Arabidopsis thaliana: one gene and its partner. The gene in region 1 interacts genetically with each later gene. Each region holds a gene or a part of one and is shown in the gene's direction. Other genes may lie near its edges.

The links.
Region 2: of KCS1 (region 1) and AKR2, extra expression of one rescues a mutant of the other (dosage rescue), as found in Arabidopsis thaliana (one study listed by BioGRID).

What each region holds. Positions count from the first base shown.
Region 1 is NC_003070.9:57,445-61,372, reverse strand, and holds the start of KCS1 (3-ketoacyl-CoA synthase 1), read left to right. Parts: upstream 1-2,157; 5' UTR 2,158-2,394; coding exon 2,395-3,928.
Region 2 is NC_003075.7:16,837,318-16,841,245, forward strand, and holds the start of AKR2 (ankyrin repeat-containing protein 2), read left to right. Parts: upstream 1-2,214; 5' UTR 2,215-2,429; exon of another isoform or gene 2,430-2,527; 5' UTR 2,528-2,544; coding exon 2,545-2,581; intron 2,582-2,610; exon of another isoform or gene 2,611-2,677; coding exon 2,678-2,811; intron 2,812-2,892; coding exon 2,893-3,105; intron 3,106-3,199; coding exon 3,200-3,348; intron 3,349-3,414; coding exon 3,415-3,601; intron 3,602-3,730; coding exon 3,731-3,823; intron 3,824-3,928. Other genes in the region: CLC-E (chloride channel E), read right to left, coding at 1-329, 499-962, 1,044-1,247, 1,341-2,028. UniProt on the Arabidopsis thaliana protein: Exhibits chaperone activity toward chloroplast outer envelope membrane, mitochondrion outer membrane, endoplasmic reticulum membrane and peroxisomal proteins, by recruiting specific proteins containing a single transmembrane associated with an AKR2A-binding sequence (ABS) and subsequently binding glycolipids (e.g. monogalactosyldiacylglycerol (MGDG) and phosphatidylglycerol (PG)) present in the membrane of the target organelle.

The sequences.
Region 1 (3,928 bases):
ACATAATGCTGGATATATAGCCAAGAATATGGATATAGATGGTCCATGTCTACGACAAAACTAGCAATGAAATTGTGGCGGATAAAAAGACTTGATCATTTGTCGCTATTATGTTGCTATTTGTTAATCCATAGATTTATTCAAAACAAATGACTACGATTTGGCAACAGAAACAATTGACAGAATTTATTTATCTGGTGATATGATGATATTGACATTTTCAATATCGAATTCGTAGTTGGATTCGGATTAATCGTGACCAAATATTTATAATTCCATATATTAGCATTAATCTTTCTTATTCGAGATTAAGAAAAAATTCGAGTAATTAAAAAAAAAAATTGTTTGAAAAACCATTAAAATCAATAATATTGTATTATATACAGTTATATACTGAAATTCAAATACAAGACCACGACAAAATGTTTACTCTAATGTTTCAATTTAATGAATCATTCGGTATTTTGAAGCATGTTAGAGCCTGGTAGTACTGTGCATGTTATACAGCCAATATCAACCTTTTTCGCTAGTTTTATGTAAGGCTATATCGTTTATTTATGTAGCAACCATTTAAATTGTTAGTCCTTTTTAAAATTATTGCAAGATGTGAGTGTGTACATTCATACATTGATGACGGACTGGTTTCTAGTTAGTTGGTATTAAGCCGACCAACATTAATTGTTGGTTTATGTCTACACATGGGTACTAGTCTACCATTTATTATCATCATTATTTCATTTATCTTGCAAATTAATACTTTGATCTGTTTATTGATTAATTCTCTCTATTGTTCATTATGCTGTACATAAACCTAAATATATGAATTATTAGCATCTGATGAACTGGATCTTTCCAATATTGAAGTTTGAGAGTTGGTATGCGTACTGTTGAAACATGTGTTTCATGCAGTAATCACGATATTATGGAAACGACGTCGCTGCCTTTTGTCTTTGTTTTCTTTTTCTCTATTATTTCCCAGTAATCACGATATTAGAAATGATTTAACTATTAAAAGCATTACATTTTACCAACAACTTTATCCCAATGAAAACAAAACAGGGACAATAAGTCCACTTTGGGACCTCAAATCCGAACATTTTATTTACCTACAAAGCTACAAGCTACAACTACCCGTCCGAGGTCTATTTTGGACACCTTGGCACAATCAATATGAAATAACTAGAAAAATACTCGAAAACTAACTAGATATGCAACTCCAAAACTAATTACTTCTTTATCAGATTTATAATATGAAATAAATTCATTATGTAAAGGGTCCCTTATATAACAAACGTCTTAACGAAGACAGCAAATTTATAAATGACAATGACTACAATACTGGAACAGCTAATAGGGATGGTATATAATGGAGAAACAAATCGAAATGTGCTGCTATTAAGAAGTCATAGTAATTCATTATCATCAATTTACCATGGCCCATATTAAGGAGTTTGTATGCATGTGGGATACACATTTATACAAAGAAATAACAAATTTGAATATTTGGGACACGCTTTCGTCTACCCTTGTTCTTGCAATTTGGACAGTGAACGCTTCTCATGAATGAGAGGTACGTTTCTCGAACACGTTCTCCCTTTAAATTTACTATTTACAACATATTATATCAACTTACCCGTCGCTGACCCAGTGCATTTGCACTACGTGCAGCCAACCTGCTTATAATATTCAATTGATATATAATTTTATAACTTGCCCTCACTCAATTTTGGATAACCTACATACACTTGCTAATAAAAACATCATGGATGTCTAAAACGTTTAAGTTTAATTATAAGGAAATATATAACAAACATGTCATATTTTGTTGTGTTGTAGTGGTATAATTAACAAGTTATGTTGTTTATCAAAAACTTCAAAAAAAAAAAAAATTAGGTTACACCAAAATAGAATGTTATGATGCCCAAATATATGTGTGAAAAAAAAGATAAACCAAATTTATGATCTACCATATGACTTATGAGATTCAGCTAGGTTTTGTTAGACTTTTGTAACTTGCATTTCGTGTGAACAAAACATGAAAAATAATCTGACTACTTAATTTAATATCAAGGTCCCATATAAGTAGTTGAGCTAATAGTATTATCTCGGAACCACCCATCATTAAATTCGAATATTATTCCATCTTTTTTTTTTTTTTGTTAAGTCATTACTATTATTAATCTTTAAAATATTTTTATCTTTCTTGCACTCTATATATCTCTCCATCCCTACTTGCCCTCATTTCACCAAAATCCTCCTAATTCACCAATTTTAGAATTCCCATTCTCATTTTCTCTCTCTTTCTATTTCTCCAAATTTGCCTAAAGATTTTACATTTTATCTTCAATCCTTCCTTGATTTACGTTTGAAATATTTCGACCCAAAACTATACTGATGGAGAGAACAAACAGCATTGAGATGGATCGAGAGAGATTAACGGCGGAGATGGCGTTTCGAGATTCATCATCGGCCGTTATAAGAATTCGAAGACGTTTGCCGGATTTATTAACGTCCGTTAAGCTCAAATACGTGAAGCTTGGACTTCACAACTCTTGCAACGTGACCACCATTCTCTTCTTCTTAATTATTCTTCCTTTAACCGGAACCGTGCTGGTTCAGCTAACCGGTCTAACGTTCGATACGTTCTCTGAGCTTTGGTCTAACCAGGCGGTTCAACTCGACACGGCGACGAGACTTACCTGCTTGGTTTTCCTCTCCTTCGTTTTGACCCTCTACGTGGCTAACCGGTCTAAACCGGTTTACCTAGTGGATTTCTCCTGCTACAAACCGGAAGACGAGCGTAAAATATCAGTAGATTCGTTCTTGACGATGACTGAGGAAAATGGATCATTCACCGATGACACGGTTCAGTTCCAGCAAAGAATCTCGAACCGGGCCGGTTTGGGAGACGAGACGTATCTGCCACGTGGCATAACTTCAACGCCCCCGAAGCTAAATATGTCAGAGGCACGTGCCGAAGCTGAAGCCGTTATGTTTGGAGCCTTAGATTCCCTCTTCGAGAAAACCGGAATTAAACCGGCCGAAGTCGGAATCTTGATAGTAAACTGCAGCTTATTCAATCCGACGCCGTCTCTATCAGCGATGATCGTGAACCATTACAAGATGAGAGAAGACATCAAAAGTTACAACCTCGGAGGAATGGGTTGCTCCGCCGGATTAATCTCAATCGATCTCGCTAACAATCTCCTCAAAGCAAACCCTAATTCTTACGCTGTCGTGGTAAGCACGGAAAACATAACCCTAAACTGGTACTTCGGAAATGACCGGTCAATGCTCCTCTGCAACTGCATCTTCCGAATGGGCGGAGCTGCGATTCTCCTCTCTAACCGCCGTCAAGACCGGAAGAAGTCAAAGTACTCGCTGGTCAACGTCGTTCGAACACATAAAGGATCAGACGACAAGAACTACAATTGCGTGTACCAGAAGGAAGACGAGAGAGGAACAATCGGTGTCTCTTTAGCTAGAGAGCTCATGTCTGTCGCCGGAGACGCTCTGAAAACAAACATCACGACTTTAGGACCGATGGTTCTTCCATTGTCAGAGCAGTTGATGTTCTTGATTTCCTTGGTCAAAAGGAAGATGTTCAAGTTAAAAGTTAAACCGTATATTCCGGATTTCAAGCTAGCTTTCGAGCATTTCTGTATTCACGCAGGAGGTAGAGCGGTTCTAGACGAAGTGCAGAAGAATCTTGATCTCAAAGATTGGCACATGGAACCTTCTAGAATGACTTTGCACAGATTTGGTAACACTTCGAGTAGCTCGCTTTGGTATGAGATGGCTTATACCGAAGCTAAGGGTCGGGTTAAAGCTGGTGACCGACTTTGGCAGATTGCGTTTGGATCGGGTTTCAAGTGTAATAGTGCGGTTTGGAAAGCGTTACGACCGGTTTCGACGGAGGAGATGACCG
Region 2 (3,928 bases), on another chromosome or scaffold:
GAAACAAAAATACTCTTCGGCAGCTCCTCAGATTGGTTGAGAGAATCATCAAGGCAAAGAGAACTTTCAACTTCACAAAGGTTATTCGTTGATGATTCATCATCAGATGACGTCAGAGACTGTACAGCTTCTTGGCTCTTTCTTTTCCTAGTTTCTTTTGTTTCTCTAGTTTCTTGTCTCTTTGATTGTCCAGATGTAATCCATGAAGACATGCCTACAGCTCCCAGTAGAGGTAACACTATACGATAATCCTGTGTAAGTTCAAATAGCAGTAGTACTGCTGTAAGAGGAACTTGACAAACCCCCGCAAGTGTAGCAGCCATTCCAACCTGTTAAACAATGAGACAAACAGGATCATTGGCAATGAAGCTACAAAAAAACTAGCATCCATTCTCAGTTAACCCGAAAAAATATTCTGTTCAAAGTATTGATAGGTAACCAATCAAGAAAGTCTGAAATTAAGACAATTTTGAAACATTGACCACATAAGAACAGTACCAGACCATAAGCTTGTGGAGATGCCACTTCCAAGATAGAGAGATTGAAATCAGGGTTCTGAGCCAAAGCAAGTCCAATAAACTTTCCATAGGCCATTCCTGCTGCCCCGCCAATAAAGAGAGAAGGAGCATAGTATCCACCGACAAGTCCAGAAGCCCGACACCATGCGGTTGCAGCTATCTTGACCGCTACCAGCTGAAGCAAAAGATCAGCTGAAAGACCCTTCACAAATGGACGTTTCTCCAACAAAATATCCACATTCTGAAAACCCCAGTATAATACTTCAGGGTATACCAAAGCTATGATACCAACACTTAATCCACCCATTACAGGAAATACAGCCTTTGGTATCCCAGCATCCTTGTTAAGACTGTCAACAGCAGATGTCATGGATGATGTACATCGAGATAATGCCAACGAGACCAAGCCACACAGAGCGCCCAATAAAAGATAGAGTGGAAGTTCTGAAAATCAGTGACCAGCTCTCATAAGTTTGGTTTCTGGTTCCCTTGCGTAAAAAGCATAAGAATGGCAATGCATATTACCTCCAGGAGAGCGGAAGTCATAGTCAGGAACCTTAAACGCAGGTTCAGAGCCGAGACCGATTTCGGAAACCACAGAAGCAGTAACAGCACTAAGAATAACCATAGAAGTTGTGTTTGGAAGTGAAGTTGATGAATCAGTTGATGAAGAAGGCCACAAAACGGATTCAACTGCAAAGAAGCATCCAGCCACAGCTGCATTGAACCCTGTAACAACATATAACAAAGTCCTCTTAACGAATCAATCAAGAGTTCCATACGCAAGAGAGAACAACATTAGCAAATATCAGATGAACAAACCAGAGGAAATGCCAGCAGCTGAGCCAGCGGCAAGAAGTGAGAAGCCAGTCTGAGGACTTTTATTGAACAGAGAATTCACACCTTTAGCGATTGACGCTCCAATTTCAACACTTGGACCTTCCGGCCCCAGCGAATTTCCAGTCCCAAGCGTCACACATGCGGCAACAGTCTTAAGGAAAGGACGCAACACTGCCTTTACGCGATCGAGACTAGAATGAGAATCTCCAGTAGATTTTCCAGCAGATTCTCGAAGCTGATTGAGGATGCTCACCACCAAACCGCCGATAGTCGGAACAAGGATAACACGCAACCAATTGGAACCGATCGGTGCCTCTCTAAGCCACGAAGCTCCACGATCAGGAATCCCATCCCAGGAAAAGTCTCGAAGCAAGTGAACACAGTTGTTGAATAGAACCACACTAACTCCAGTGAGAACACCAACCAAACAAGCCGACGCTATCGCAAGCTCCTGAGACGGCTGCTGATCAAATCCAACCTCATCCTGATCAGTCTCCTGCTTCGCCGCCGGTAAACGCGGGAAAATTCTACCGCCAATAGCGACGGAACCGAAAAACGGTGAAAGGACGACATTGAACTGAAAAGGAACGTCGGTTTTGTGAATTGGAGCGAATCTCCGGGAAGAGACGGGAGATCGGAGGGCAGCACAGAGTGGAAGCGTGGCTGCCATGAACGGCTGCTTCCGTGAAGTGACGCGTGTTTATCCATTAACGGATAATTTGATCTTAAATCACAAATCTTACGTGGCTGATCTTATTATTCAAACGCATGGGCTTGGGCCTTGAGGTAAACAGGTTTATATGGGCCAATAACAATAAATTTGATTAAAAATAAAAGGCCTCTTAGCTTTAGGTTCAAACTTCAATGGAGAAGCAGTGGCTGTTGTCCCTCGCAGTTGATCTTCTTCTCAATCCAAAATCCAGCTGATAAATAAATAATTTTTCTCTTGTCGTCATATTAAAAAAAAGAAAGATTATCTGTATTTCAAGTTTCATGAGCGTTTGCCACCACAACATTGTCTTTTCGGGTTAATTTCTTCTTCTTCTTCCTTTTCTTACTAAATTCTCTTAGGTAGTTGTCGATTCGATTTCTTTGTCTTCCTCTTCGCTTATTTTCGTTGAATCTCTTGTTTACACCTTTTCCTGAAAACAAAATTGTGTTTTTTGTAGGGTTTTAGTCATACTTAATGGCTTCCAATTCGGAGAAAAATCCTCTTCTTTCAGGTGATTATTTTCTTCTCAGTATACAATCTGATCTGCGATAATGAATCGTTTCTAGTCAGATTTGGTTATTGGTTCATTGTAATTTGTTTACTGTAGATGAGAAACCCAAATCGACGGAGGAGAATAAGAGTTCTAAGCCGGAATCAGCTTCTGGGAGTTCAACTTCATCAGCTATGCCTGGCTTGAATTTCAATGCTTTTGATTTCTCTAATATGGCTAGTATTCTCAACGTAAGTTACCTTTGCTGTTAGCACAATTGAAAAGTTATCTTCTTTGAGTTTTTTTTTAATTGATAATGGTTTTTTTTGTAGGATCCTAGCATCAGAGAAATGGCTGAGCAAATAGCTAAAGATCCTGCGTTTAACCAATTGGCTGAGCAGCTTCAGAGATCTATTCCTAACGCTGGCCAGGAAGGTGGTTTCCCTAACTTTGATCCTCAACAGTATGTCAATACAATGCAACAGGTTATGCATAACCCTGAGTTTAAGACAATGGCCGAGAAACTTGGTACCGCCTTAGTTCAGGTTAGGAATTGATGACTTTTTCCATCTAATCGAGGTGTGGCTTTGAATGAAGCTCTGTGTCTTATCTGATTTTATTTATTTTTTTTGCCTACAGGATCCACAAATGTCTCCTTTTTTGGATGCTTTCTCGAATCCTGAAACAGCAGAACACTTTACTGAGCGTATGGCGCGGATGAAAGAAGATCCAGAGTTGAAACCTATACTAGATGAGATTGATGCTGGTGGTCCTTCTGCCATGATGAAGTGAGTGATACAAACTTCTTTCAATGTTTTTTAGAGAAACTGTAGAGTTTGTTTCTGTTTATGAAGGAAGAATTATTTATTCTGTTTTAGGTACTGGAATGATCCAGAAGTGCTGAAAAAGCTGGGTGAAGCAATGGGTATGCCTGTTGCTGGCTTACCAGACCAGACTGTTTCAGCTGAACCTGAGGTAGCAGAAGAAGGTGAAGAAGAAGAGTCTATTGTTCACCAAACTGCCAGTCTTGGTGATGTTGAGGTTAGACTGCTTCCTACGTTAATATGCTTGACCATGTGAGATTTATCTTGCGTGTTGCTTGAGGAATTAGATGTTCCAAGTTTTGTTTTGTTGAACTCGTTATTGGATTTTTATTCGTTGATTCATTAGGGTTTGAAAGCTGCCTTGGCATCTGGTGGTAACAAAGATGAAGAAGATTCTGAAGGAAGGACAGCATTGCATTTTGCTTGTGGATACGGCGAGGTATGCAATTCTCTTATCAATTCACGGCAATTAAATATTCGGATTTAGATGGTTCTCTTTTTTTCAGTAGCTGTGAAGTTAAGAATCTTTATAATCATTCAATTG